3 linked regions of the Saccharomyces cerevisiae S288C genome follow. Changing the gene in region 2 together with the main gene of any one other region gives a genetic interaction. Each region holds a gene or a part of one and is shown on either strand. Other genes may lie near its edges.

Region 1 (6,662 bases), on a different chromosome or scaffold from region 2:
TCGCGATGTCTACGAGGGCATTCATTTCAAGCCGCGGTAACTGCTTGGTGGTTTCCCATCGGGCCCAAGGGTAAACATCGAGGAAATTTCTCTCTAGGACTACGAGACCTGAAGCTGAGAAACGTTCAACGGCCCAGTCCAACACAAGGGTCATCGATTGGCCCTTGGCGTCCTCTGAGCAGCATGCCAAAAAGTGCCTGGCCACGTACTCGTATACTCTTCTTTCCACTGGCGAAACATTTGCTTCAGGCCCCAGACTTACGATGGGGTGGATTGGTGGATGCGCTTTGTCGTCATGGGAGCCGCTTCGTGGAAACTTGAACTTGTTATTGTTACTTGTGTTTTCGGGTTGGAGCAGCGATGCCGCGTACGATGCCCAGGCGGTTCTGCCGCCTGCAGCGAGTTGGTCCAATTGAGCTTGCTTTTCGACCAAGGATTTTAGGTCCATTGCGTGTGGGAAAGTATCAGTCTCTGTTCTTGGATACGATATGAACCCCTTTTGGTATAGCTTTTCTGCTGCGTCTAGTGATTGTTTGGCGTTCAGACGCAGGTACCGGGCGCAGTTTTTTTGTAGCTCCACTGTGGTCAGAGGTAAAGGTCTGTATTTCGTTGTTGGCTTTGATTTCAAGTCTACTACTTGAGCAACATTGCCGGCGGTTTCGATGCATGTCTCGTAAAACGTTAACACGCTCAGCCGGTCGAACAAGTGGCCCCTGTCCCACTGGAACGTTGTTGTTCCGCCGTTGTCTTTGTTTTCGACTACCAATTGGATATACCAGAACTCTTCGGGAACAAAATTTCGTATTCTTTCAAACCTGTCTACTACAAAGCCGAGCGTTGGAAACTGGCATGTACCATACGATACGACTTGTGAGTCGTTCTTGTTACCACCGCGGTGTTTTGCACCATCCTTGGTCATGGTGGCTTGGTTTCTCAGTTTATTTCGTAGCGTTTCTGTTAAGAGTCTGGTGAATGTAACACCTGCTCGAAGATCGATTTCAATCCGCGTGCCTACAGCGTGCACACTCTTCATATCCAATCGACTTGGGTTTCGTGCTGCATTTAATATGTGTTGTCTTTCGAGATGCGAAAAGACTGCCCGGTATACTTGATCATTTTGTATGAGCCTGTTGCCTCTCTTGGCCTCCTGCCATATCTCCCAACCGATGTACTCTCCTTCCCGGTCGCAATCTGTCCATATCATCAGATAGTCTGCATTCCTCGCTTCTCGCTTGATGTTGCTTGCTATCTTTTTTTGGTTGTTATTCATAATCTCGTTCAGTGGCGCATCAAATAACTCTTGGATGGCGCATTTTCCCCACCCATGCGAATCATGGCTGAAATCAATGCCTGTTAGGTGCCCTGCAACACTAGTCATGGTAACTTCGCAGTTAGCCCCATTTCTGGCAAACGGGAACCCACTAAACATGAAATCATAGTTCTTTACATACATGTAGCCGGAATCCCTTGAAGTTGATCTGCCTCCTCCTAGGATCTGTGAAACTGCCTTCGCTATAGAATTTTTCTCTGCGACACATAGCACTTTCATTATTGTCTATAATACACCTTTACGTAGCTGAAGCGAGCGCACAGACGAAGGTGCTTTCAAAAGCGATGCCCTCTTTATTGACAGTTACTAATTCGCCAAACTGCTTTTTTTTATCAATGTGATTTTCGCGTTCACGCCATTATCCAATGTCAAAAAGGATAATGGAAATGTTAACATGCCTGTATGATCCGACCGTTTTTAGCAAACTTATCAGGGGAAAAAGTATATTCCATTAAATGACACATGCCACCATAGATAATGGATAATGAAGAAGTTAACGAAGAATGTATGAGATTATTTTTCAAGAACGCTCGTGCGCATCTGGATAAACATCTAACATCAAGGTTGACATGCGATGAAAATGCATATATCACGTTCAGATGCTTCCTGGATGGAATACATCGCAAATCTACTAGGTTTCTCGAAGAGCTACTTTTGAAACAAGAAAATATGTACCATAATAACAATTACGAACGCATAAATGATTCCGTGATACCATTGGTTCTGAAACTTTTATGGCTTCAAATTCACGAACCTACACTCCAATGGTTTGAGCACTGGTTCCATGATATCATGCGACTAAGTAACAGAAGAAAGTTCAGAGTTTTTAGAATTTTTCAAAAAAAAATGATTCAATTTTTCAAAATTACACACAGGTATTACTATGACATCATCGAACACCTATGCGCAAAGTACGATATGAATTCCGTTATTTCAAATGCTCTCTTCGCGAAGTTGAATTTAATGCAATACACAGATGGACTTTCAACTCATGAGAAAATTATCTTAAACACGAGTAATCCACTGACGTTTTCCATTGTAATCTCACTACAAAGATGCGTGATTAATCTAGGTTCCACACATTTTTATAAAACACTACTAAACAAGCCGTCTAACAAACCCAAGAGTGTGGAAGGTTTTGAGAAGTCTATTAGGTACTTGAATATTGCCTCACTCTATCTCCCAGCCGTTGGAGATACTTATTTTCAACGAGCGAAAATTTACTTGATCACTGGGAAATTCTCACTGTATTTCTTTGAATTAGTAAGAGGAGCATTGGTAAGGATTCCGTCTAAATGTGCGTTAAACAATTTGAAAGATTTCATTTTGACTCCTGATTTTCCGGAAAGAAGACGTCTGATGAAAAAATTGGCAATTCTTGTGTCAAAAGATCTCAAAGGTGAGAAATCATTCTTTGAAGGTCAAATTGTTTTGCAATTTCTATCGATAGTAGAACACACTTTGGTTCCACAGTCATGGAACGCATCACGTGCTTCTAATTGTTGGTTATTGAAAGAGCATTTACAAATGGCTGCATTAAAGTATCATTCAGGTAATATTAATGTTATACTTGAAAACTTGGCTGCCACAATGGGAAGTTTCGATCTTATGTTTACAACTCGAAAAAGTAAGGAACAAAAGAACAAACTCAAATATGCAGATTTGAGTGAGCGCCAGGTTTTTTTTTTAGACTTGAGCTTTGATTTTATTGCTAATATCATAGACGTCGTCATCAAACCCTCCTGGCAAAAAAACATGGAAGACTTTCGATATCTAGCCATTATTCGTTTGCTTATGTGCTGGATTAAGTCATATAGATCTATTTTGCAGTACACTCACAGACACAGGAAGTTTTGCACTTCATTCGCCTTGTTGCTGAACGACTTGATAAATAGTCCACTGAATTGTTCAGGAAATATATATAGCCACAGGCCGAAAAGAAGCTATCTTTTTAGAGAAGATATTATTTTCAGGGAATTTTCTTGCATTAACTTTGCACTAACAGATTTTAATGACGATTATGTGTATGATTCTCCCGACATGATTAATAATATAATTGGATGCCCTACATTGACTAAAGTGCTTTCTCCAAAAGAAGAATGTGTTCTGCGAATTAGATCAATAATATTTTCTGGCATGAAATTTTTAGAGAAAAATGACACCGGCGTCATATGGAATGCCAGCAAATATAAGTTTGATTTAATAAGCCCAAATATTAAAATAAAACGCCAAATAGCATTATCGGAAATTTCCTCCAAAATAAATGTAAAAACACAACAGGAAAGAGTAGTCTCTTCGAGAAAAGTTGAGGCCAAAAGAGATGAACAACAGCGCAAAAGAGCCGGGAAAATAGCTGTGACAGAACTGGAAAAACAATTTGCAAATGTCCGGAGAACAAAAAAATTGTCTCCGCTCCCAGAAAAAGATGGCGTTTCTTCTGAGTTGGTAAAACATGCTGCTTCACGAGGGAGAAAAACTATCACTGGCCCACTATCCTCTGATTTTCTCTCATATCCAGACGAAGCAATTGATGCTGATGAGGACATCACCGTCCAAGTGCCAGATACTCCTACTTGAGAGAACAAGTAATGGTGAGGGAAAAAATCATAATATGAAATATATTATGACGACGTCAATTAACGTCGTCCACGCCTGTCGTCGTCAACCCACGAAAATATGGGGGCGGTTTTTATAACGGTTATTAAAACGACGGGATGCCGTCTACGGCACGGACAAACCCATCGCTTTGGAAATAGGTGACTGCGCTTGAAAAACATAATTATTTATTAGCATAATAAATTCAAGACAGCAAATATATATGCTGTCAATACGTACATATTAAGCCTAAATATTCTGTGGAAAAAAGAAACAAACTGGTAATTATGGAGAAAGCTTTGGAATTAGACGGAGAATATCCGGAATCTCTGAGGGATGAATTCAACATCCCTACATTTAAATCCATGGGACTATCGTCCGACGATAAGCCTGTGACGTACTTATGCGGGAATTCTTTAGGTTTGATGCCGAAGTCAACTAGGAATTCAATTAATGCTGAGCTAGATGCGTGGAGCGATTGTGCTGTGGAATCGCATTTCAAACATCCTGAAGAAGCCAGAGGAAAGGTGCCTTGGGTCAGCATTGACTTACCTATTCTTCCACTACTAGCCCCCATCGTGGGTGCTCAAGAAAATGAAGTTGCAGTAATGAATAGTCTCACTGCAAATTTGAATTCATTGTTAATTACGTTTTATAAACCTACTGAGAAAAGATTCAAGATCCTTTTTGAAAAGGGCTCCTTTCCATCAGACTATTATGCTTTCTACAACCAGTGCAAAATTCATGGAATTTCGGAACCTGAGAATGTTTTTATTCAGATCGAGCCACGCGAGGGAGAGACTTATATCAGAACTCAAGATATCCTGGATACCATAGAGGTAAATCAAGATGAATTGGCGCTGGTCTGTTTGTCAGGTGTTCAGTATTACACGGGGCAATATTTCGATATTGGCCGAATCACCTCATTTGCCCACCAATTCCCCGACATATTGGTTGGATGGGATTTAGCACACGCTGTAGGGAACGTCCCATTGCAACTTCATGATTGGGGTGTTGACTTTGCCTGTTGGTGTTCTTACAAGTACTTGAATGCCGGGCCTGGTGGAATTGGTGGCTTATTTGTCCACTCGAAGCATACTAAACCAGACCCTGCTAAGGAAAGTTTGCCAAGATTAGCTGGTTGGTGGGGCAATGATCCTGCTAAGCGATTTCAAATGCTGGAAGTATTCGAGCCGATTCCAGGAGCATTGGGATTCAGGCAATCTAATCCAAGCGTTATTGACACAGTGGCATTGAGAAGTTCATTGGAATTATTTGCGAAGTTTAATGGTATTAATGAAGTTCGTAAAAGATCGTTGTTGCTGACGAACTATATGACGGAACTGTTGGAAGCCTCCAAGTATTACAAACACCCTTTAAGGATCGAGAAATTACCATGTTTTTTTACAATATTAACTCCAACAAGCACAGATGAAGAACATGGCGCCCAATTGTCACTTTACTTCGATTCTGACACTGGAAAAGAGGATATTATGCCCAAAGTTTTCCAATATTTGCATGACCATGGTGTCATTGGCGATGCAAGAAGACCAAACGTAATTAGATTGGCTCCTGCTCCCTTATATAATACATTTTCAGATGTATACATTGCGGTGAATGCACTAAATGAGGCGATGGATAAGTTGTAGTCCTAGAGTGACCGCATCGCCTTCATCTTCTTTTGGATATTATATATGACGTAGTTTGAAATTCGTATACTTACTGATAGCGAACCTATAAATTTATACTTTCTTTCCAAGAATTAAAATAAATATCTGGGCCCGTGTATTACTTACCAGTTGCCGTGCATAGTCGTGAATCTTCTTTCATTTATCAACCTTCTTCCAATAATGAAGCTAACTTATCAGTGGTAGTACTGTTGAACGAAACAAGCCGGAACTCAAAAGGGTAATTTCGTGAAAAACAATCATCTACGGTATAAATAACAATTTAATTTACGTCTCTTTCGAAAATGCTCGTGTAGCTCAGTGGTTAGAGCTTCGTGCTTATAGCAACATTCGGTTTCCGAAGTTTCTGTGCCAAAGACCTTTCAAACAGGCCTTTAAAAGCAACGCGACCGTCGTGGGTTCAATCCCCACCTCGAGCACTTTCTCTTTTTTTTTTAAAAAAAGTTGCATTATTTCTATCAACTGTTGTAGCTACGTTACACCTAATTTTGTATTGTAGACTGTTAGATAATCCACATATACAGGTAAATACGGCACATTGTCTTCTAAACATCGCATTAAAGATGTCTTCCACCGTCGATTCAAGGGTCATTCAATACGGGTAATACTGCTTCCATTGGGCCCTTCCAAATGAAACAAGATACGGGAAAAAGTGATAAAAAAAAGCAAACAAGGTTGATTGATCGATGATAGACGCGATTCTTGGAAAAGGCAAGAGCAGCGTTTTGATAAATAGGTTCCAGGTGTACCGAGATATACTGATTATCCTTCTCTGTCATTCTTCACTTTTTGCAATAGGTTTCCTTTGTCGCAAAAAATTATATTCGTTATTTATTATACTATTCTATTTTCCTGAGGAGATAGGTTAACAAACGAATTAGAGAAGCAAAACTTATAAAACAAGAAATAAACGTATTAGCTCTTCCACAAAATGCAAACGCTAAAGTGTGTTGTTGTCGGTGATGGTGCTGTTGGGAAAACGTGCCTTCTAATCTCCTATACAACGAATCAATTTCCAGCCGACTATGTTCCAACAGTGTTCGATAACT
Region 2 (8,668 bases):
GGCCTATCAAATTCGTAACGAGTATTTGAGATTTTCCAAATATATGCCAGACGTTAAGACAGCAGTCTTTTACGGTGGTACTCCAATTTCTAAGGATGCTGAACTTTTAAAGAATAAAGATACTGCTCCTCACATTGTTGTTGCAACTCCAGGTCGTTTAAAAGCGTTAGTGAGAGAAAAATACATTGATTTGTCACACGTCAAGAACTTTGTCATAGATGAATGTGATAAGGTTTTAGAAGAATTAGACATGAGAAGAGATGTGCAAGAAATTTTCAGAGCTACTCCAAGAGACAAACAAGTCATGATGTTTTCAGCCACACTTTCTCAAGAAATTAGACCAATTTGTAGACGCTTCTTACAGAATCCATTGGAAATTTTCGTCGATGATGAAGCTAAGCTAACCTTGCACGGGTTGCAACAATATTATATCAAATTAGAAGAACGTGAAAAGAACCGTAAATTGGCTCAATTATTAGATGATTTGGAGTTCAATCAAGTCATTATTTTCGTTAAATCTACCACAAGAGCTAATGAGTTGACCAAACTATTAAACGCCTCTAACTTTCCGGCTATCACCGTTCATGGTCATATGAAACAAGAAGAACGTATTGCTCGTTACAAGGCTTTCAAAGATTTTGAAAAACGTATTTGCGTGTCCACAGATGTTTTTGGTAGAGGTATCGATATTGAACGTATTAATTTAGCCATCAATTACGATTTGACTAATGAAGCTGACCAATATTTACATCGTGTCGGTAGAGCTGGTAGATTTGGTACTAAGGGTTTGGCTATTTCATTCGTTTCTTCAAAGGAAGATGAGGAAGTCTTGGCTAAGATCCAAGAGCGTTTCGATGTCAAAATCGCTGAATTCCCAGAAGAAGGCATTGATCCGTCCACTTATTTGAATAATTAATAAAGGAAAAAAGATACGTTTTTATATAGATTATATAAAGATTTTGTATTATTCAAACGAACAAAACAAACAAAAAAGGGGAAGTGGAAAAAAATTAGCAGTTATAGCGAAAGATTGAGTTTTTGTTGGAAAATGAACGTAGTGTAGTCATTTCGTGAACGCACAAGACAATTCTATTGGGCATCACATGGCAAAGCATGATAAGGAAATGAAGTTTTGGGAATGATTCTAAATTAACGTTTTACCCGTTATAGGAAGATATACAGTATATGTAAGTAAAAAGTTTTTTAATACAATAGATGTGCAAAGAAAAGTGAAGAGATTTCTGGAAAAAATCTTGAAATTTTCTTAACGGTAAGATTTTTGGAATCTAGAACGAGCACCCTTACCACCGAATTTCTTTGGTTCTGGTCTTCTAGAATCAGCGATCAACAAAGTTCTGTCGTAAGAGGTGAAGGCCTTCTTCAATTCGTTCTTGGATTGTTCGTCAACGTACTTTTGGTGGTAAGCGACTAAACCCTTAGCAATAGCTTGTCTGATGGCGTAGACTTGAGAAACATGACCACCACCAGTGACTCTAACTCTGATATCGATGTTGGAGAACTTGTCCAAACCAACCAACAATAATGGTTCGTAGACCTTGAATCTTAGGATTTCTGGTTCAACCAAAGTGATTGGAGAACCGTTGACCTTAATCAAACCCTTACCGGCCTTGACGTGGGCAACAGCGGTAGCTGATTTCTTCTTACCAAAAGTCTGTTATAAAACCAAAAATGAAAAACATTTCGTGTCACATGTTAGTAAAACAGAAATTCAAAATCCTCAAAAATATTATGAACTGTGTAAAAGGGTGAAACAAGTGAGGTACCCTGGCACTTCCTCTTTGGAGCATTCTGTTCAAAATTCATTGCAAGGGGAGCGAATGAATAAATAAGACCGCAAAAGACGCTCATTACTTTACTCCACAGAGAAATTAAGTATAATATTTTCCCACACAATTTATTGGTTATTTCTACTCGGTCTTTAACGTGTGAAATGGTGATCCGTTGTTCTAAAACTATGATTCGCATCTAGTGCTTGCCCCACCCGTCTTATTCAGGTGATATGGTTCTTAAATTGAAATTATCTCACTGCATGGTTTCAATATCCCTCACAAATTCGTGACATCGTTTAAATTATTTAACATACTTGGACACTTGGGACGGCAGACATCTTGTTGCTTATTCTCTTGCTGTATTTTTCGAAACACTGCTAAATAAAAAGGTATATATTAAATAGTCTACTGCGTAACCTATACATTTTACATGGCATTTACTTTTGACTTTGCCAGTGTTACTCTCTGCGCTAGGATAATATTCGGTGGTATAGGCTCACGCGGCCTGGCCGGAACGAACTGCTACCAGTTCTGTTTCCCTCAGCTAGAGGGAAACAGAGAGAATTTCCGCCCAGGTCAAAGGCCACAGCATCCTTCTAGAGGAGGAGCGACAACCTAAGGAAAATTCAGTTTTTCCTAGATCGCATACATTTTTCAACCACTTTTTTTCACAATGCATTATTTTTCAACATGTATGGGTGTTTTTTCTGAATATCAGACTCTTTTATGGAGTAAAACAAGCTATTAATATGTGACCCATACATTTCCTGTTACATCCTTACATATATGCAGGCAATTTTTTGTAGTTAGAAAATTTAATTTTTTTCTAGTCGGAATAATCACAGTAGAGGTGTGGAAATCTTGGAAAATTTGAAATGATCGGATATTAGCTACTAATCCATTTAAGCTTGCAGCATTCTGTTCGAAGGGGTTTGAGAAAAGCATAGTACAGCACAGCAGGAATCGTACACAATGGGTATGTCTACTATAAAATAATTCAAATCACTTTTGTCATTTCATAGACCAAAGAAGCTCGCTTGTTACCTTAGAGGATTATACTAGTGCACAAAGGCATGCATAATACAACACACGTTATTGATGAACCTAGAGAGGCTAAAGTTATTTTCTAATAAATCATGAGATTTTTCTCCTTTTTACAATAACTGAGCAGTCATAGTAATGGCCAAGCAAATTCGAGACAGGACCTTTGTACCACTATTTGCTGAACTCATTGTTAGAGTCTTCTTAGATAATATGATAAATTTGGTGTCTAATTGAAACGTCCACTTTTCTGTATACTAACAATTTTTAAAATGGGATCTACCAATTGAATTATATCAGCCATTTCCAAGAATTTACCAATCTTAAAGAATCATTTCAGAAAGCACTGGCAAGAACGTGTTAAAGTGCACTTCGACCAAGCTGGTAAGAAGGTTTCTAGACGTAATGCTAGAGCTACCAGAGCCGCTAAGATTGCTCCAAGACCTCTAGATCTCTTGAGACCTGTTGTTAGAGCCCCAACTGTTAAGTATAACAGAAAGGTCAGAGCTGGCAGAGGTTTCACCTTGGCTGAAGTTAAGGCCGCTGGTTTGACTGCTGCTTATGCCAGAACTATCGGTATCGCCGTTGACCACAGACGTCAAAACAGAAACCAAGAAATCTTTGATGCTAACGTTCAAAGATTAAAGGAATACCAATCTAAGATTATTGTTTTCCCAAGAAATGGTAAGGCCCCAGAAGCTGAACAAGTTTTGTCTGCTGCTGCTACTTTCCCAATTGCTCAACCAGCTACCGATGTTGAAGCTAGAGCTGTCCAAGACAATGGTGAATCTGCTTTCAGAACCTTGAGATTAGCCAGATCTGAGAAGAAATTCAGAGGTATCAGAGAAAAGAGAGCTAGAGAAAAGGCTGAAGCTGAAGCTGAAAAGAAGAAATAGATCTAAAAACTTCATCAAAGAATTTTTCATCCACAATTTTTGTATTTTCCTTCTTTTTTATCTGTTCAATTTCATAAATAATATATATGTACAATGTATAAACGGGAAGCCATCACTTATAATTTATCATTTCCTTAACTTTATAGTCTGGGTGAGAATATGGTTGACAGTATTTTTACAAGTTAGCGCAGTTTTCTTGATATGATGGAACATTATTGTATTAGTAGTAGTCAGGTTTGCAGGCTTTTCCTTCGAGCACAACGTGGCATTATATATAGCATAGAAGAGATGCGAAAGATGGTATTGAACAAAAAGAAAGTACTGTCTTATTGTATTAAAAGCGACTATATAGAAAAATTATAAAAAATTTTAAATGTTAGAATATGCAATTTCTTCTAAACAGTGCGGCACTTCTAATCAAATAAACCGAAACCCATGTCGTCATCGGATTCTTCTTTAGCTTCTTCTTCTTCCTTTTCAGCTTCGGCTTCACCGGCTTCACCACCAGCGACACCACCAGCGACACCAGCTGGGGCAGCAGCACCAGCGCTGAAGTTGACCAATAAGTCCTTCAAGTTTTGGCCGTCCAAAGCCTTAGCAAAAATATCAGCCCAGATATTTTCAACTGGGACATTGGCAGCGTTAGTCAAAGTCAACAACTTTTCAGAAGAGATTTCGATTTCAGAGTCAGCCAAAATCAAGGCGGCGTAAGACAAAGCGGATTCAGTAGACATTTCTTCTTGTTATTTTAGAGATAATCGGTTTAAGCTGTTGTATTGGACAAAGCGGACTATTTCTTTATTCTTTTGATTTCTTTTACTAAAAATTATTCAGAACAGAAGAGATCGCAAACTTTATAAAGATATTTTTTTCAAATACCATGTAAAGGCATTCTTTAAAAAATGAAAAAAAAAAAATCATTACAAAGTTGCGTGGTATCATCTTACGATATTCGTACCTCACGATATGTAGCAGACATAGATGAGGCTACAGGGTTAAGGCTTCTTTTAAATGAAGTATTAGACAAGATACTAGAGTTTAATAAGATCACGTATGGTAATGTTATTTCTTGCTGTGACAATTTTAGAAACAGAAGGCATGTGAGTTTTCATATTACATTAATTAAATGAAATTTTTATAAGCTAGGCTACTGTTCAGCGAATAAATATTTTCAAGCCAGTTTTATGAGGCAGGAAACGTCGCATTCGAGCGGTAATCATGAGGGTCCCTGGTAGTAGGGCGGAGAGATCAGATCAGTATCCAACTTGATTTTTTTTTAGAAGTGGTTGGAATTCTGGAGTTGGCGTATTTACTGCGCTAGAATTTTCGTTCTCCTCTTGCACTTGTTTGCTCTGTTCTTTTTCTACCACCCACCTGTCAAGCAGAGCCTGTGGAACATCCCTTGGTGGTAGCATAATCTCTATCATCCGAATTTTGTCATTGGTCGCAAAGTTTGGGTCACTGATCATGGATCTGAATTCTCCAACAGTAATAATTTTTTTCGTTTCGTAGTTCGTGCAACCAAATACTCGCAATAATCCCAAGTAGTTCCAAGGTTGGATATCGTAATAACTAGCATCTGACCTGTGATGCAAAAACCTGTCCACAGAGTAACCTTGGTTATTCATCACAAAAATATAAGGTGTCAATCCCCACTTAACAATTGTGGATAATTCTTGAACTGTCAATTGGAAAGCACCGTCACCCATAAACAGAATAACTCTATGTTTAGTTGCGGGGAATTTATCCTTGTTTATCTCTTGAACAGCAAATTCTGCCCCAAGACACGCCCCCATTGTATATCCGACAGATCCCCAAAGAGCTTGCGAAATACCTAGTGTATTTACCGGAAATCTGGTCTGGTTAACTCCAAATGCAGAAGCACCAGTTTCTGTTATGATTATGTCACCTGGTTGGAACCAATGGGATATTTCATTCCAGACCCATTCTTGTCTCAAGAGGACATTTCCTGCTGGGTAAGGTCTTGGAACCATCATACTGGGTTGTTCGCTTGGTTGGTAAGACAGTTTAGATTCATCAAGATTTGCTAATATTTTCTGTAGTAGTAATTTAATGCTCAAGTCAGGATATGTGGCATTTTTCAATTTCACAGATGTAGAATATAGTAGCGCACAATTCTTAGTTTTATATTGGAAGTGGAAAGTTGACGTGCTGAATTCGGAGAGCATGCAACCAATGACGATGATAAAATCGGCAAAATCAACTACTTCTCTTACTTCTGGGGCTGATATCGAGCCCGTGAATACGCCCCCAAATTGCGGGTCTGTTTCGTTTACTGTACCCTTACCCATAGGTGTAACAAAAACTGGAAATTTAAGCCTATTACAAAGCTCTTTAGTCTCCTCGATTAAATTCTGTCGACTAGTACATGCATCTACGATGATTGCCGGATTCTGGCTTTTGTATATAAAACTCAATATTCGAGAAATAACTTCTTTCTCTACGTCTGGGTCGTTTTTATGCAATTGTAAATCCAGAGGTGTATTAAGCCTTGCTGATTCAATCGGGAGATTTACCTGGTTGACAGGCATGCCCATGTATACTGGCCTCTGTTCTATCCAAGCCTTTTTGATGCACTTATCGACTTCGTCGGCACATAATTCAGAGTCAATAATCAATGTTGTATAGCATGCTACATCACTGGCTATTCTATGAAATACCGTGAAATCACCATTGCCCAGAGTATGATGCAGTAGTAGTTGTTTCGTTTGTGCACTTGTTGGCGGCATACCCACTATGTGAAGTATTCCTACATGTTCAGCGTAAGATCCGGCCACGCCATTGATTGCCGATAATTCGCCTACACCAAAGGTTGTTATGAGACATCCCAAGCCTTTTAGTCGTGAGTATCCATCTGCTGCGTAGGCAGCATTTAACTCATTAGAATTACCGGCCCATCGTAAGTTCGGAATGTTGTATAGTTTATCCAGCAACGGCATGCTAAATTCTCCGGAGAGTCCAAATATGGTATGTATGTTCAGCTGGTTGAGCCGATGGAAAAGATAATCTGATATTGCTATACACTTCGGCAGTGCATATCTCTGTGTATAGCTAGAATTCATCTTCAGAATGACGACGGTGCGTTTTAGTAGTTATGTTCTTTCAAACCTTTTTTTTTTCGTTTTATTATATTTTACTCTTTTCTACACAATATCGATAATGAATTACGAATTTGGTGCTTACCAAAAGGTTCAAAGATTACTATGCCGTAAAGTATGAAGAAAGGGAAATTTGTTCAATGCATCGCAAGTTTCATCAATTTTTCTTCTATGTGAGTGCTTTTAGCAACTGTTTGCAATAAAGAAACATAGGAGTTCTTACAGTTGCCAAGGTTCTGCATATGCAGTCATACGCTTGTGGCCGGTGAAAATTTGGGCGACCGCTGCCTAGAAAAGCAGCAAGTGAAATTAAATGAAGGAAAGAGGACGGTCGTTATACGTTAGGTTAACTGCATACGCTGTGTATCTGTGTGCAGAAGACAAATGCATATTATGTAATAGTAATGATACAATAGACTAAGAAATTTGAAGGATGAGATATATCACAAAGACGATGAAGGTGCAGAAACAAAATGTTTCAACCGTTCTTCAATGGCGGGCCGTTCCACAAGTGGAACATGGCCCAACTCAGTTTCCACGTCGAAGTCAAATATACGCAGGTTTTGTGCTTTTACGTAAGTGTCGGTATCACAACGTTTGGTTTCGTCAAAATAGCTTGATAATAGACATTGTAGAGGTACCAATCTTTCGCAAGGGTGATACTTCAGAGTTTTTGTTAACAAGTCAAGAGTATCGGGATCTTCGGCTTTGAATATTTCAGCCAAAGTAATGGGCTTGATATTGGGGAAAACATGGTCTTCATAATTTGGGTTCATTCCTGAAATTTCATCCTTTGTGGGTATGCCCATTATCTTAATAATTTCCACCAACTGATCTATACCGCTTTCACCAGAGAACAAGGGCTTGCCCAAAAGCAACTCAGCAATGACACAAGCGCTTGACCACACGTCGACCTGGTTTGAGTAATTAGTGGCACCAAACATGAGTTCGGGAGCCCTATAGTACCTTGAACAGATGTAAGACACATTAGGCTGATCCGGTTTCAAGCATTTGGCACTGCCAAAATCGCAAATCTTGAAAGAAAAAGTTGTCGGATCCACCAGTAGGTTTTGCGGTTTTATATCTCTGTGACAGATTCGAGGAACGTTATGCAAATAGTTTAAAGCTTTGAATAGTTGGTATGCATAGAATTTAATTTCAACACGCGGCATCTGCATTTTCAAATTAACAAAATGACGAAGCCTTTGGTATAACGACTGAGGCATGTAGTCCAAAACCAGATTGAGGTATACTTCATCTTCTTCGTCCTTTTCGTAAAAGTAGTACTGTAGACCCACAGTATTTGGATGGCACAACATCTTCATAGTTTCGAGCTCCCTATTTTTATATCTTCTATCTTGTAGTACTTTCTTTATGGCAACTTTTTGATTGGTCTCAATTATTACAGTCGTGACTACAACACCAAATGAACCATGGCCAACCACTTCTGTCGTAGGATAACTGATGTCGATAGTTCCTCCATGATTTTTTCGGTCGACATCAGTTTTGCGGTCATGTTTATAAACCCGTTTATGAACTAAACCTATGTTAGTATATAATGTGATTCCCATAAAAAATGGTAGTTGATGTAATATGGAAAAATGTTCCGCTATGCTTCCTGATATTTCGTAAGCAAGTTTCTAAGATTAGGGATGCAATTTCATAAATCTTTATTTTACACTCTCTTTTTTTTTCTTTTAATTATTTTTTTTTGTGTCGCGATACTATGAACTGACAGTAGTTCCACTATTCACTCCGGTTGTGACGAAAGAAACATTCCTCCACTGGCAAGAACATAAAAAAAAAAAATAAAAAATAATTA
Region 3 (6,290 bases), on a different chromosome or scaffold from region 2:
CGCCAGATCAGATAGCGGCTTATGAAAGTTTCATTCCAGAAACGCAAAAGGACAACCCACGACCAAAGTTTGTTCAAGTGGAAAGGGGTGGACAAGTAACATTTCATGGTCCAGGCCAAATTGTTATTTACATTATTTTAGATTTGAAAACATTTCAAAGTTTCCCTGCTAAATGCTTGGTTTCATGCATTGAGCAGGCCACTATCAGAACGTTGAAGAATACCAAGATGTGCGACGACACTGACAAGCCTTTGAACTTAGATGCTATGACTACAAAGGACACTGGAGTTTGGGTTGAAAATGGCAAGAAGAAAGTTGCTAGTGTTGGAATACACGTCAGACGTTCCATAACATCGCACGGGGTAGCAATTAATGTTAATACAGATCTATCGTATATGAATAGTTTTGAAATGTGCGGTTTGAAAAATACACTGACTACTTCAATTATGGAACAACGACCCGATGCTGTTGTAAATGTGCAAAGTGTAGCAATTAGTTTTGTCAAAGAAATGACAAAGCTGCTAGGAATAAAAACTTTGGAAAGAATGCAAATTGACGACGTCAATATTTTGAAAAAGAATCCGTGAGACGGATGACTCCCCCCATACTTTCTTAAATGAAAGGATGCTTACCTTTTTTTACATGTGAATATCTATTACATATATACGTACGTATATAATAATCTCTGACGTGAAAAGCGGATCGTGTGTGTCTTGTATTTACGATGCTAGTTGGGGGAAAGGATCTTGAAGACAATAGCTATAATCCCGATGGAAATAGTTCCAAATGTTAATAGTGTGAAATGATTACATAGCGTGTTCTTGATGCTAAATTTGTCAGTACCCTTAGGATTCATGCCCGGGACGCCTCTAGTGTCATGTTCGGTAGTCTTTTTTTTAGATGCAGTTGAGAGTTCTTGTTCTTTCTGTTTGTTCTTCTTCATCATTTGTGAATTCTTATATCGTTCCACTTCTAACCTAGTTTTCAAGTCTTCTATTTCCCTTTCCATGCTTTTTTGCTTTTCATTATTTCTTCTTTTCTTCACTTCAAATGACTTTTTGAAAAACATATGGTCCCTTTCCAACTGTTTTACTTGATTTCTGTTTTGTTCGATAATCTTTTCGTATTTCCCCGACAGTTTCCTTCTTAATCCATTTTGCAGCTTTACCAGTTGCTGATCATTTTTTTCCACTAAAAGTTTGTTCGTGTATTCTAGATGTGTCGTATAATTAATTAAGAAATTCTCCATCGACTGTAATTTAAAATTATCGCATTTGGAAAATGGAATTTCCATTGCCAGGGTTTTGATGATATTAGATAAAGTCGGGCTCGTACCAATACAATTATTAATAAAAATTCCACTCAGTATTTCTGTATCAGAGCCCAGGATAACTTCTTCCAATTCTAGGTTGTTGGAATCACCATATATGTGACTTGTTATGGCAGCAGCCTCCTCTTTTTCTGTAATTGTATGGCAATCATCACTATCTTCATTTTCAAAAATCGGTGATTCTAATAAAGGTTGTACAAATAGTTCTTCAACTGTGGCACTTATTTTTCGATGCTCAATTTTCGTATCTATATCTGTTCCCAAGTCTATCACATCGCCAACTTTGATTTCTACGTCATTTGAGCCAATTCTTTGACCGTTAATGAACGTACCATTACTGGATTTTAAGTCTCGTATATATACCTTACCCGTGAGCGGGTCGCAACTTAACAATGCATGATTCCTGGAGAGTACTCTTGAATCGAAATTACCATTATCGGACCTTACTTGGGAAAAAGTGTGTGAATCCACTCTTTTACCGCCCCTGAGCGATGAACTGGAGCTGCTATTACTATTAGCAACAGGCCTTCCCAATTTCAAACCATCTGGTTTAAATGGTATCACCACATGTTTGCTCTCAAAAGTTCCATTTAGTGATGTGAGGACTAGAATGTAAGTATATTTTCTCCTTGGTGTTCTTGATATGCTATGTGGAAAATAGCTTTTTGTTGGGTCGGCTATTCTCTTGTCATACTTTTCAATTGGCCTCTTCGATGAATTCGTAGATCCATCAATTAGATTTGCATTCTTGGGTATACTATTATATGTTATCTGTTTCTTGCCCGGAGAACTGGGGTGCTCCTCCTTATTTATTTCAGGTCCAGGACCAGTCATTGGATTCGATTATATCTATAGCTTCCAATATAACCAACGACAGGCTCCTTGTGAGGGTTACTTTGTCACTCTTGCCTTAATTTTGTGTTCACGTAGTGCTTGTGACTTTCAAGAACAAATTTTTAATTATGTTCCGTTATGGTAAACAAGTGAAATTTCAAAAGTTGAGCACCACGATTACGGAATAACAACAAATAACGAAGGTTGAAGAAATTAGATAATAGATGAGAAAAAAAGAACACCAGAGAGAGAACAGGTGCTTTCTAAAAGATTTCAATTCAGGGCGAATAATAGTAGTCCTTACCCCTTAATATATTGGAATATAATAGGACTAGTTAGACGCTGGCAATAAGATTGGTTTATTGTTCTTTTTTTTACGACTGTAACAAAGCTACGTTATTTTTTGTTTTTCTTTTTTTTTAATTTATTTGGTATTATATATCTAGTGTATATGTTATTATTAGGAAAGAGCTGTTATTTAATATTAAGTGTGAACGAAGGAAAATTTCGTAGGTAAAAAAATTAGTGCAGAGAGCCATTAAATGAAAGGGAAATTTTATTCTTAATTATTTTTTGCAATTTTATTTCCCACTAAGCAGCTTTTTCACTGGCGGTGGAGGATTGCTTTTCATTATTCTTATGATGAACTATTTCAAACTCATTGGTGTTTTCAGAGCTAGTTTTGACCAACTCAGGTATTTCATCGTCGGAGCCTTCAGGTCTGTACTCGTGGCCGGTAGTGTAACCTTCGCCTAATGTGTAAGCGCGGATTTCTTCTTCAGAAATTTCACTGTATGGAACCATGCCCTTCTTTCTTGCTTCTTCGTCAGTAAAGGCACCATAATAATCTTTGTCATCATGTTTGACAGTAATTTTGAATGGGAAGAGGAGGCATAGTCCCCAATAGACGAAAAAGGAGATCAAAAACGAGAAGAAGGAGTCACCGTAAAAGAAATTGACAATACCAGTGTTGTGGAAATAGTCATTATTGACTTCCCAAGCAATACCAGGTAGACCGGGGGTCATACCACAAACCCAGGCAACAATAGCTCTCCAGTTAACACCCTTAGTGAAATAGTATTCACCCTTGAGAATAAAGGCATTAGTGATGGAGTATTGTCTTTTTCTGATCAAGAAGTTATCGCAAATCATGACAGAAATGATAGGAGTCATGACAACACCGAAAGAACTCATGACAGTCAAGAAAGTAGAAGAAGAGTTGTAGAAGTTCCATGGCAAACAAGCCCAGGAGACACATGCGGCAAAAAGGGCACCCCTCTTGATGTCGACATACTTGGGTAATAAACCGGCCAAATCCATACCACTGGCAAACCCACAGTTGGAGATGGTGTAGGACATTTGAGATAGGACAAATGAAAGACCACAGAAGAACGCACCGGCACGAGCACCTGCAGAATAGTTAGTTGTCAACCAATGGTTGAAGATATCCATAGGCATCCAATATTGTTCACCGTATAGTTTGTCACAGGTGGAGGCACCAATAACACCAAAAACTGGGATTAAAGTGGTTGGAATTAACAATGCACAGATGGTACCGGCCCAGATAGCCCAATTGGAGGAACCAAATCTCGAGTAATCACTTTGGTTGGTGGAACCTGGAGAAACGGAACCGAACCAGTACGAGATCATATAAACCCAAGCCCAAGCTTTGGTGGAGCCAGTGGCAGTGGATTTAGTGGAGGTAAACAATTCTCCAACACCGTGAGCCTGTTTAGCTAAATAGATCACCATACCCAACATAGAGAAAAATGTAGCAACACACGACCAAATTAAAATGTAGTTCATGTGGTAGGGTTTCATTAAGTAACAGAATGCAGTAAGGACGTGGAAGATGATAAAACCAATTAATTCTTTAGTGGTCATGGCAACTTTCGAAGATAAGGTGTTTGGCAGGTGCAAATAATGGTGAGACCATGAATCCAAGATCATATTGATACAAAGACCTCCCACCCAAGCGTTGGACCCGTAGTTGACAATACTCATCAAAATTCTGATGATGATACCGAAGGCAGAACCGTAAATACCAAAGACGAATCTTTGGGCCAAAGTGAAACCGACCTTCCAGTCGTAACCAGGACACGAGTTTGCCAATGTGAAAATAATGGTCAACACATCACCGACGATAAATGTACCAATGGTTTCTGGGTAACTTAATCCAACACCTAGTGCAGAAGAGGCACTCATCCATGTACCCACTGAAAAGGACATAACACCCCAATATGCAAAATTAGACCAGAACCCCCATGTTTGGTTAGCCGACTTAATAGGTTGCAAATCCGGGTTCTTCAAGAAACTCACAGATGCCCTGTCTTTGACAGGAATTTCCAAAAATCTCAAAGCCCTGGAGACTTTACTACCGAAACTCATATTGATATAATGCAATTGGCTCTACAGTCCTTTAAATGATGTTGCGATGAATCTCAGAACAATAGATGCTAATATGAGTTCTGGAATAGGAAATGAAATGGTAAAGCTTCCCGATGACTTCGAGAATTGTATCTCACATATATACCTAATAAAAAAAAAGAAATTACATTACAATAGAGGATGTAAAAATTTCGCTTTTTTTTTTTTTCTATTCTCTTCCTCTTTTCTCTTCAACTACCCGAAAAAGGTATGCATACTATTTGCCTTAGAAGCCCGATCGATGAATCCTCTCCTCTTCCATATAAATCAATAAGGCAACCTCTAGAAAACGCCCATTCCTGCCAAGCGCTTTGCAGCCTTATGGCCGTACTCTGTGCATCCGCTGCTCATCGGCTCTCTGAAACCTTCCCTATGCGTTTGGTAGTCGCGCGTGAATATGCTAATTGGGGCGCCTTCCAACATGCGTTTACGCGGCGCGCTGGAGCTTCTGTGGCGGCGACTTCTGCATGGTTTGATGCAGTTGCGGCTGGTACTGAAAATGCACATATGCAGTCAGCTGAATCATGCAATTAAGCGGAGAGCTTTTTTGAAGACAAAGGGCGGCAAAAACGCCTTACATGGATGCCTTGACACGGTCATAAACTTGCAAGAGAGTATTCTTGCAGGCATTCGTCTTGTGCCAGTACTTCCTATACTTCTCGACTATGTCCTTTACAACATCAGTCTTGGAGGCATGACCTTCGCAGATTTTCTTGAGGTCTTGCTCCATTTCTCTGCGCTGGAAGGGCTTTGCAAAGGAGTCTTCGAGGCCGATGGCCTCGAAGCCGTGCACTAGTGAGACACCCAGGGTCGTGGGTTGTAAGTAGGTTTCCTTGCCTACTTTCTCGCTCCTAACGTAATTACGTACTTGGATCTTGTCTATGTGCTCCGCAATGGTGGCGTCTGTGCCAATGCCGTTTGTATCCATGAGGAGAATGAGTTCACTCTCAGTCATCGGCTTGGGCGGCGCCGTAGTGCCCGCCTTCATTTCGGCCTTCGCGATGTCTACGAGGGCATTCATTTCAAGCCGCGGTAACTGCTTGGTGGTTTCCCATCGGGCCCAAGGGTAAACATCGAGGAAATTTCTCTCTAGGACTACGAGACCTGAAGCTGAGAAACGTTCAACGGCCCAGTCCAACACAAGGGTCATCGATTGGCCCTTGGCGTCCTCTGAGCAGCATGCCAAAAAGTGCCTGGCCACGTACTCGTATACTCTTCTTTCCACTGGCGAAACATTTGCTTCAGGCCCCAGACTTACGATGGGGTGGATTGGTGGATGCGCTTTGTCGTCATGGGAGCCGCTTCGTGGAAACTTGAACTTGTTATTGTTACTTGTGTTTTCGGGTTGGAGCAGCGATGCCGCGTACGATGCCCAGGCGGTTCTGCCGCCTGCAGCGAGTTGGTCCAATTGAGCTTGCTTTTCGACCAAGGATTTTAGGTCCATTGCGTGTGGGAAAGTATCAGTCTCTGTTCTTGGATACGATATGAACCCCTTTTGGTATAGCTTTTCTGCTGCGTCTAGTGATTGTTTGGCGTTCAGACGCAGGTACCGGGCGCAGTTTTTTTGTAGCTCCACTGTGGTCAGAGGTAAAGGTCTGTATTTCGTTGTTGGCTTTGATTTCAAGTCTACTACTTGAGCAACATTGCCGGCGGTTTCGATGCATGTCTCGTAAAACGTTAACACGCTCAGCCGGTCGAA

Evidence for each region. Genes that interact genetically often act in the same process or in processes that back each other up.
Region 1: mutations in THI3 (region 2) and EST1 together harm fitness more than expected from each alone (negative genetic interaction), as found in Saccharomyces cerevisiae (3 studies listed by BioGRID).
Region 3: mutations in THI3 (region 2) and THI7 together harm fitness more than expected from each alone (negative genetic interaction), as found in Saccharomyces cerevisiae (3 studies listed by BioGRID, with this or other methods).

The regions. Positions count from the first base shown.
Region 1 is NC_001144.5:604,670-611,331, reverse strand, and holds EST1 (Est1p), read left to right. Parts: upstream 1-1,807; coding exon 1,808-3,907; downstream 3,908-6,662. Other genes in the region: TOP3 (DNA topoisomerase 3), read right to left, coding at 1-1,549; BNA5 (kynureninase), read left to right, coding at 4,213-5,574; Rho family GTPase CDC42, read left to right, coding at 6,545-6,662. UniProt on the Saccharomyces cerevisiae protein: Directly involved in telomere replication. Associates with telomerase and during its interaction with CDC13, telomerase activity is promoted.
Region 2 is NC_001136.10:305,662-314,329, forward strand, and holds THI3 (branched-chain-2-oxoacid decarboxylase THI3), read right to left. Parts: upstream 6,811-8,668; coding exon 4,981-6,810; downstream 1-4,980. Other genes in the region: ATP-dependent RNA helicase SUB2, read left to right, coding at 1-916; 40S ribosomal protein uS9 RPS16B, read right to left, coding at 1,265-1,672, 2,105-2,128; 60S ribosomal protein eL13 RPL13A, read left to right, coding at 2,763-2,766, 3,132-3,727; ribosomal protein P1 RPP1A, read right to left, coding at 4,141-4,461; putative serine/threonine protein kinase MRK1, read right to left, coding at 7,290-8,383. UniProt on the Saccharomyces cerevisiae protein: One of five 2-oxo acid decarboxylases (PDC1, PDC5, PDC6, ARO10, and THI3) involved in amino acid catabolism.
Region 3 is NC_001144.5:610,629-616,918, reverse strand, and holds THI7 (thiamine transporter THI7), read right to left. Parts: upstream 4,553-6,290; coding exon 2,756-4,552; downstream 1-2,755. Other genes in the region: lipoyl(octanoyl) transferase LIP2, read left to right, coding at 1-587; FAR10 (Far10p), read right to left, coding at 728-2,164; YLR236C (uncharacterized protein), read left to right, coding at 4,802-5,125; TOP3 (DNA topoisomerase 3), read right to left, coding at 5,166-6,290. UniProt on the Saccharomyces cerevisiae protein: Responsible for intake of thiamine.